Linked DNA regions of Xenopus tropicalis. The protein of the gene in region 2 purifies or fractionates together with the protein of the main gene of each other region. This does not show direct contact. Links are inferred from orthologs where the notes say so. Each region holds a gene or a part of one and is shown on either strand. Other genes may lie near its edges.

Region 1 (4,780 bases), on a different chromosome or scaffold from region 2:
CCACTGCCCTCAATGAGCTTGCTCCTGCCAAGACAAAACGCGTGAGGCCCAAACCGCTCCAACCCTGGCACACTGCTCATACCAAATCCCTCCAAAAACATGTACACTTGAGCGCTACTGGTGCAAATCAAGGTCAGAGTCAAATTTCTGCAGCTACAAATCTGCTCTGCTCTCCTATAATACCACCCTCTGCCAAGCTAAACAAACCTACTTCACTGCACTCATTAACTCCCTCTCTAAAAAACCTGCACAACTCTTCTCTACCTTTAACTCTCTGCTGTCCCCTCCTCCGCCCCCTCCGTGTGCTTTGGTCACTGCTCAAGCTATCGCAGAGCACTTTAAAAATAAAATTGACACCATCCGAAGGGACATTGCACAACTTAATCCCTATAACCATTTACCTCCCTCCCTACACACTACCCAGTCTCTTCTTGGCTCCTTCTCCCCAGTGACTGAAGAGGAAGTCTCAAAACTGTTGTTTTCCTCTCACCTTACTACCTGCCCGCTTGATCCCATTCCTACCAAACTTCTGCATAATGCCAACCCCTGTCTTATCAAAGCCTTAACTCATCTATTTAATCTCTCGCTCTCTACTGGAATCTTTCCCTCCCAACTGAAACATGCAATTGTAACCCCTATTCTGAAAAAAACCTCCCTTGATCCCTCCAATCCTACTAACCTCCGACCTCTCTGCTCCCATTCATCTCCAAACTGCTCGAGCGCCTAGTCTACAACCAACTGACGCTATTCCTCTCCGACAATAACCTCCTGGATCCCCTACAATCTGGTTTTAGACAACAACACTCCGCCGAAACTGCTCTAACCTGACAAACAAATGACCTCCTATTGGCTAAAGCCAAAAAACACTACTCATTGTCAATCAATTTACAGTTTCATCCAGAATACCGCAAATAACCATATTTGTTTCAAACTATATGATCATACATAAAATGTAATCCATTACTGTAGTAGTTTAACTTTTTCATTTAATATAATGCAGACTGAAATTAATGAGGTGATTTGCTTTACCTGTATGATGGTGTTTTTTTTCTTTAGTTTAGTTTCATCATTTTTTAATTTTCTTTAGTTCTGTTTCAGTGTGTAATTTCAGCAGCCATCTGGTTGCTAGGGTCTGATATATCCTTGCAAAAACAAATATATGAAATATGTTCCTACCCCTGTCTGGGGACAGACTTCACCCTTCATATAGAAACAACCCACTATTTGTGGTAGACTCTGACTGCTTCTTAGAAAACTTGTAATTAATTAACAGAAACCAAGGCAACTAAGATACCAAGATGCCCCGTGACCTGTGCTTTACTGCTGAGCTGCAAGTTGGGGTGATATCACCCCCCTCCCAACATCCGATAAGCAGAACAATGGTAAGGTAGCAAGATAGCAGCTCCCAGTAGATCCCAGTAGAATCGTACTCCATAGTAAGAAATCCAAGTCTGGCTTGGGACTCCTCCAGTTACATGGAAGTAGGAAAAACAACAGGGTACCTGAAAGCAGTTCTAATGTGTAGCGCTGGCTCCTTCTGAAAGCTCAGACTCAGGCACAATGCCTACACACCAAAATTACAACTATAAAAAACATTTGTTGGTTCAAGAATAACATCGCCCCCCCAGTGATAGTTTTATTACTAAGTCATTACAAGCACTGAAAACAAACAGGATCTATCCTATCAGCACTTTATTGTCTTGTTTCTATAACCATTCCTTTTTAAATTAGAATTTAGACTAGCTATTTTAAAGGGACTGCTTCCTTATCTGCAAAGGGATACCTTTCCATTAGCAACTAGGAACTAGACATTACGAAGCCTATCTGTAGTTTCTATGACTGTTCCTTTTCCAGCTACAATTTAGCCTAACTATATTCAAAGATCTATTTCCTTGTCTGTAAACGCATACCGTTCCATCAGCAATTTAGAGCTAAATGCCACCTTTATTGCCACCTTTATTAGCGAGAGCTGTTGAAACTGGAAAAGGAAGTGATTCCTCGCTGCTGAACTTCCGTCTGTCCGCCATGGCAGTATGCTATTGGAGTAAGCTGTATGGGAGCGTATGACGAGTTTCCGGCGATAGAGTCTAGCAGGTCGAACAACAGGACGGAGAAGTGAGGCTCTTGCACAAGCAGCCGACTTATTGATTGGAACGATCTACGGCTATGTATCCGGGCTGGGGCCGGTATGGCGGCTCTTCCTCAATATCTGCTCCGGCCGGGCCGCCATCCGCACCCGCTACTGGTGCCTTCCAGAGCTTTAGAGACCAGCACATGGCCCAGCTCCAGCAGCTTCAGAAAATGCACCAGCAGCAGCTAGAAACAGTCTTGCCTGTTGGCAGCACCTCTCAGCCTGCTGGGTTTCCCCCGCCGCCTGGAGCCTATCAGCCGCACACTGGCGGCTACGCGAAGCGATCGTATTATGGACCCGGAGAGTCTTATCCCTTCCCCCCACCACCCTTCGTGAGCAGCTTGCCTCCCCCTGGGTACCCTAGTTACCCTCCTCCTCAGCACCATCAAACAAACCCTCCGCTTCCTGAGCCAGCGCCCCCTCCTGAACCGGCACCCCCTCCAGAACCGGCACCTCCTCCTGAACCAGATCAGCCGCCCCCACCTGAACCTGCACAGCAGCCTCCCCCGGAACCGGCGCGCCCTCCACTTCCAGACCCAGAGAAGCGCTTGCAGCCCGCGGAATCTTCCTCCCCTAAGGATTCTGAGGGCATTAGAGGATCTGATGGTTTGTCTCTAGAGGTAACGAACACATTTATGACATGAAGCTGTCCATACACGTATATAGATAAATGCATTATAACGGACGATTGGATACTTGACAAATGTGGTATACAGAACGGTAAGTCATTGACATGAAGACTGCTAGCTTGCAAATGTTCATAGAAAAGATCTGCAGTCAGAGGCCTTACGCACATATATTTAAGGATGTTGTCTTGTACAATGTTGAAGTTGGTTTGTAATTTTACATATAGATCTTTTGTGTGGCTGTACATATACAGATGCAATCATATATGGTGCTGGGTTCACTCTTAGCTAAAAATTCCCTTACTTAAAAATGGTCCCTATAGAGTTCCTTATAGATCTTCTAAATTCCTTAACAGAAGCACAGTAGAAGCACAGCCCTTCACTCACACAAGCAAGACAGGCTTCAGTTCCCTATCTGATCCACCTAGCTCACAATCACCATGCAGCACCAATTGCCTGACTGCGCCGCCCCAGTCCCAGGTGTGCTGTGACTGTGCCTGACCATGCAATTGCCTGACTGCGCCGCTCCAGTCCCAGTGGCACTCCAGCACGCTCTGCCCTGAAGGGTGCGTGGTGCCTACTACCTCATTCCGCTTTAAAGTAACTTAAGATTTGCACAAATCTAAACCTGCAAAAAATAGGATTTGGCCTAATGCCAAACCAAATCTTGGATTTGACACTGGAAATGTTAGGCTGACCCATACATTCCTTGAAAATCACAAAATTACAAGAGTGTACTAGAATATAGTGGTAGGTGAGCCAAAGTTGAGTGGAAATCCTGCATGTGGGGCAGCTCCAGGGTTTACCTGGATGTGGGAGGTCATGTGCAGTGTGAAGATTTTGTCTAGGAGTGTACTTTGTAATTTAGGTGCTATATGTTGGAGTATTGTGATGCATGGAGGGGGCAGGTGTACGTATATAAATAACAGCAGCGGTATGTGTCCGCTGTCAGAAATTTGGGTGAGGAGGGTTGGAAAGTGGCTTGGCTGGAGGTGAATGTGGCGAGCGATCTGCCTGCAAACTGCTGCAGAGGAAGGTTGGTCTACTCAAACCTACCTGACCCACAGGTTTCATGTTGACCCCCCCCCCCATGCATCACTAGTGGAATGTCACTTAGAAGCTTTGAATTTGAGGGGGGTTTTTTGTTTGTTTTTTTTTCTCAACTCAAACTCATGAAATTTATATTCTAGGTCTGTGAGCTCTCAAAAACAAAATTCTGAAAAAGTCAAATTTAAAAAAATCGCTTACATTTTGCCTTCAACAATGCCTATTGACTTTTACATGAGCTCACAAGCTTTAGATGCTTAGGTTTTACATTCGAGTTTTTCCAAAATTTTCATGGTCATAATTCAGGTTCACAAGTTTTAGTGCAAATAAAATTGAATTGTGCCAAAAAAAATCAAATTCGAATGTTGATAAATCGGCCCTGCATGTAGAGTCCTGCTGCAGGTCAGTACCTACAGGTTACCTCCCAAAAAAGTGGGAAGCCTGCAGGTTGGGTGTAGAATTTTCTTATGCGGGTTGGATTGTGAGTCTTATCTATATTTCTTATCATATATTATTTTTAATCTATATTTTACTTCTTTAGATATTTTTTTCAACTACTGATGGCAGAGTTACAGTTTGCAGCAATGGCACTTTATTTTTAATTGTGGTCAGCTAATTAGGATAAGTCAGTTGCACGTTTGGTAGCAGGTCCAAGCAGGTAAAAATGTGTGTTGCAGGCCATGTGTCCAGTTTTTAAAAACTGGTTCTGTATAGGACTCTACCTGAGTGTTCTATAAGTTAGTAAAAGTATATTGAAGTGAATTTAGTGTATGACAGGTAGCCTTCGAAGGAACTGGAAAAAAAAGAGCCGCTTGTGGATTAAGAGGAGAGGTTGAGTGAGGGAGCAGTGTTCACCTGTAAAGCCCTGTAAGAAAAAATAACTTAACTTAAATAATGTATACCGCATATAAACATTACATTAAATGGAGATCAGCTAATATATCTTAAAGCACAAGTGAGAAATGGCCATTATTGT
Region 2 (4,250 bases):
CCAGCTAGATGACAGCAATTTATCGTAGCTATCCCTTTACACCAATTCCGGTTGTTTCTAAACTATGGGATTGGACAATGACAGACTGTGTTTTGTAACCAAGGCGAAATGGCCAAAAATTCCTTACCATAGTGAGTAATGTAAATCGGAGGTAAAACACTTAAATCGCAAAATGTAAAAAATGCTCAAATATTTGTAAGGCGGCATTTTGCACAATTACTCAATTTAAGTGGTTTAAACAGGTTGTGTAATTTATACAACCTGCTACGGGTTCAGAATCTGTGCATCTGTCATTGCCCTAAAAGGCCACATAAGGTAAGATCGGAGCCTCTGGATAAGCCTGTGAGCTTGAGGGTCAGTTATGAGATCTGAAATAAGGGGATATTTGCTCACACAGTATATGAGGCAAAGGTTATATAAGCACAGCCTAAAGATGGCCATACACGGGGCAATTTTAGCTGCCGATTTGGCAGCTTACCTGCCCATGTATGGGCACCACTAACAGGCCTCCCCGACATCTGGCCTGAAATTGGGCAAATCTCTATGGGGCAGGTTTGATTTTTCCGTTGGATCGGGGACAGCATTGGCTCATTGATGCAGTCACTGAACCAACAATGCCTATTCCCACTATTTTAACTCAATCGTTAGGCCCTAGAGTCAAAAGATCGAATAAAAGTGGCCATACACGGGCCGATTCTAGCTGCCGATATCGGTCCCTTACACCAATTTGGCAGCTTATACCCGTGTATGGGCACTACCGACGGGCCTGCCCAACAGATATCTGGCCTGAAATTGGCCAGATATCAATCGGGCGGGTTTGAAAATGTAGTCGGAACGGACTGCGCTTATACCCGCCATTCTAATTCGATGGTTTGGCTCCAGGGCCAAACAAACGAATTAGGCCAATATCACCCACCCATAGGTGGGGATATTGGGAGAAGATTTGCTTGCTCAGTGACCGTGCCAAGTGAGCGGATCATGCAGTTTATAGCCACCTTTAGAAAAAACACTGCTTAACACTATGCAAGGCTCAAAAGAAACAAAGTCTAGCCTGGATGTTACCTATATTTATGATGCAGGGCACAGGGTGGTAGTACTGGTACCATTACTAAATAACACGGCTGACCAGTACAAAGCCATCAGGTTACAGCCTGACTCTCCGGCACAGACACATATTATAGAGCCTACAGCTAAACACGATGGAATTAGGACAAGTATTTGGCTGTAGGCAACATCCAGCTATACCGACAGTGAATAACTGCCCCGAGGAATCTAACAGATTTCTAGCAATATTTATAAGATACATATACATGACATATATGTCACAAAAGGGCCCTGCCAGTCAGTTACAAAGATGGCGTACCTCCATGGCAACAGAAAATCTTTTCATCCACGATGGCAGCGATAGGCAGGCAATTGAAGCAGTCTGTAAATGTCTTCCACAGTTTAATGTTAAACCTCCGTTTGCCTAGAGAATGGGAAAAGCAAAGGAAGGAGTTGAGCTTCACACTTCAAGGAATGGTAAACATGATATAAAGAAAGAAAAAACTATAAATACATCACACCCCTGCCACAAAATGATCTCATGTTTTTTTATTTCTAAATGACACTGTTACACAACAAATAATCAATTCCCTCTGCCATTTAACCTTTTATTCTTGAACCAACAAATGTATTTGTAGCTGTAATATTGGTGTGTAGGCGCCATCTGCTGCTGGGGGGGGGGGGGGGGGGAGGATATCACTCCAACTTGCAGCGCAGCAGTAAAGTGTGCCTGAGTCTGAGCTTTCAGCCAGCACTACACATTAGAACTGCTTTCAGCTAACCTACTGTTTCTCCTACTCCCATGTAACTGGAGGAGTCCCAAGCCGGACTTGGATTTCTTACTATTGAGTGCTATTCTGATACCTACTGGGAGCTGATATTTTGCTCCCTTCCCATTGTTCTGCTGATCGGCTGCTGGTGGTGAGGGGGGGGGGATATCACTCCAACTTGCAGCGCAGCAGTAAAGTGTGACTGAAGCTCATTGCAGCACAGAAAATACAAACAGCAAAACAAGGTTATTCAAAGCAAACTAAACCAAGTTCCTTTTAAAGTACAACTACTGTACAGTTGCACTGAGATTTGACCAAGTAAACTGGATTATAAAAATTAGAATTGGTGTGAGCTATATGTGAAAAGAGACGGTACAGCTGACCACTAAAATCTGTAGGAGGGGGTCCTCATTATCATATCACCAACAAACATCCCACAATGGCTACGCAGTCGTTGGCACTGTCCAGGGAGCCCAGTGTGGGACACACTCACATTCATCGTAGAACCCGTAGATCCGGTTGATGCTCGCACACTCATGGTTCCCTCTGAGCAGGAAGAAATTTTCTGGGTATTTGATTTTATATGCCAGCAGCAGGCAGATGGTTTCCAGTGACTGCTTCCCTCTGTCCACATAATCCCCCAGGAAGAGGTAATTGGCTTCTGGCGGAAAGCCCCCGTATTCAAACAGCCGCAGTAAATCCGTGTACTGTCCGTGGATATCACCTGGAGATGGGAAGGGAAAGGGAAAGGCTTGGTTATACACAGCTGGAACCAATACAGGTATCAGAGCGCTGCAGGTCCAGCACTACACATTAGAACTGCTTTCAGCTAACCTATTGTTTCTCCTACTCCCATGTAACTGGAGGAGTCCCAAGCCGGACTTGGATTTCTTACTATTGAGTGCTATTCTGATACCTACTGGGAGCTGCTATCTTGCTCCCTTCCCATTGTTCTGCTGATCGGCTGCTGGGGGTGAGGGGGGGGGGATATCACTCCAACTTGCAGCGCAGCAGTAAAGTGTGCCTGAGTCTGAGCTTTCAGCCAGCGCTACACATTAGAACTGCTTTCAGCTAACCTATTGTTTCTCCTACTCCCATGTAACTGGAGGAATCCCAAGGCGGACTTGGATTTCTTACTATTGAGTGCTATTCTGATACCTACTGGGAGCTGCTATCTTGCTCCCTTCCCATTGTTCTACTGATCGGCTGCTGGGGGTCAGGGTGGGGGATATCACCCCAACTTGCAGCACAGCAGGTCTATCAGAGCACAGGTCACATGGCTGTGGCACCCTCGGAAATGAAGAATATGGCTAGCCCCATGGGAAAAACAGATTACAATGCAGGATTCTGCTGGAGAATGTCTATTAACTGATGGGTTGTGAAAATATTTTGTTTTCCTGTGACAGTATTGCTTTAAGGCCCTGGAAGAGTGCACTTAATTGTATCTGCATGGAATCTACAAGCCAGGCACCACCCATACACATGAAACCTGTGAGCCTGTGCCAGGGAGAGCCAACTGACACCCTGCAGGACAGAGATCACACACTACTGGTACAGACTCAGCAGTCACATGAGCCAGGGATATGTATGACACAGTGACATGGCTGGCCCCTCCCATCTCTAGTGTTTGAGGCAATTATATAATAGCACAGGGCTCAGCACTGCCATTTGGCCGATTGTTTATTGACTGACGCCATGCCAGCGTGTTGATTTAGGATTCTGAAAAAATAGGCACGAGTGCAAATGTTTCACAGGAAAAATGATTTTCATAAGGACAGAAAGCGGCTGTGTCACCAGCGCAGGGCAATGGGGTAGGGGGCAGATCAGAGCTGTAGGGATGGTTAAATGATTCCCTTTTCTCTGTAATAATAAAACAGTACCTGTACTTGATCCCAACTAAGATATAATTACCCCTTATTGGGGCAGAACAGCCCTATTGGGTTTATTTAATGGTTAAATGATTCCCTTTTCTCTGTAATAATAAAACAGTACCTGTACTTGATCCCAACTAAGATATAATTACCCTTTATTGGGGGCAGAATAGCCCTATTGAGTTTATTTAATGGTTAAATGATTCCCTTTCCTCTGTAATAATAAAACAGTACCTGTACTTGATCCCAACTAAGATATAATTACCCCTTATTGGGGCAGAACAGCCCTATTGGGTTTATTTAATGGTTAAATGATTCCCTTTTCTCTGTAATAATAAAACAGTACCTGTACTTGATCCCAACTAAGATATAATTACCCCTTATTGGGGGCAGAACAGTCCTATTGGGTTTATTTAATGGTTAAATGATTCCCTTTTCTCTGTAATAATAAAACAGTACCTGTACTTGATCCCAACTAAGATATAATTACCCCTTATTGGGGGCAGAACAGCCCTATTGGGTTTAAGTAATGTTAAAATGACCTGTACTATGGCAGTTGGGCGTT

Evidence for each region. The genes of interacting proteins can lie anywhere in the genome.
Region 1: the proteins of ppp1cb (region 2) and ylpm1 purify together in Homo sapiens (affinity purification with mass spectrometry; 3 studies listed by BioGRID and IntAct, with this or other methods). This does not show direct contact. The link is inferred for Xenopus tropicalis from reciprocal best matches to the Homo sapiens genes PPP1CB and YLPM1.

Annotation. Positions count from the first base shown.
Region 1 is NC_030684.2:82,123,108-82,127,887, forward strand, and holds the start of ylpm1 (YLP motif-containing protein 1), read left to right. Parts: upstream 1-1,714; 5' UTR 1,715-2,166; coding exon 2,167-2,751; intron 2,752-4,780. UniProt on the Homo sapiens protein: Plays a role in the reduction of telomerase activity during differentiation of embryonic stem cells by binding to the core promoter of TERT and controlling its down-regulation.
Region 2 is NC_030681.2:5,961,840-5,966,089, reverse strand, and holds part of ppp1cb (serine/threonine-protein phosphatase PP1-beta catalytic subunit), read right to left. Parts: intron 2,539-4,250; coding exon 2,308-2,538; intron 1,469-2,307; coding exon 1,364-1,468; intron 1-1,363. UniProt on the Homo sapiens protein: Protein phosphatase that associates with over 200 regulatory proteins to form highly specific holoenzymes which dephosphorylate hundreds of biological targets.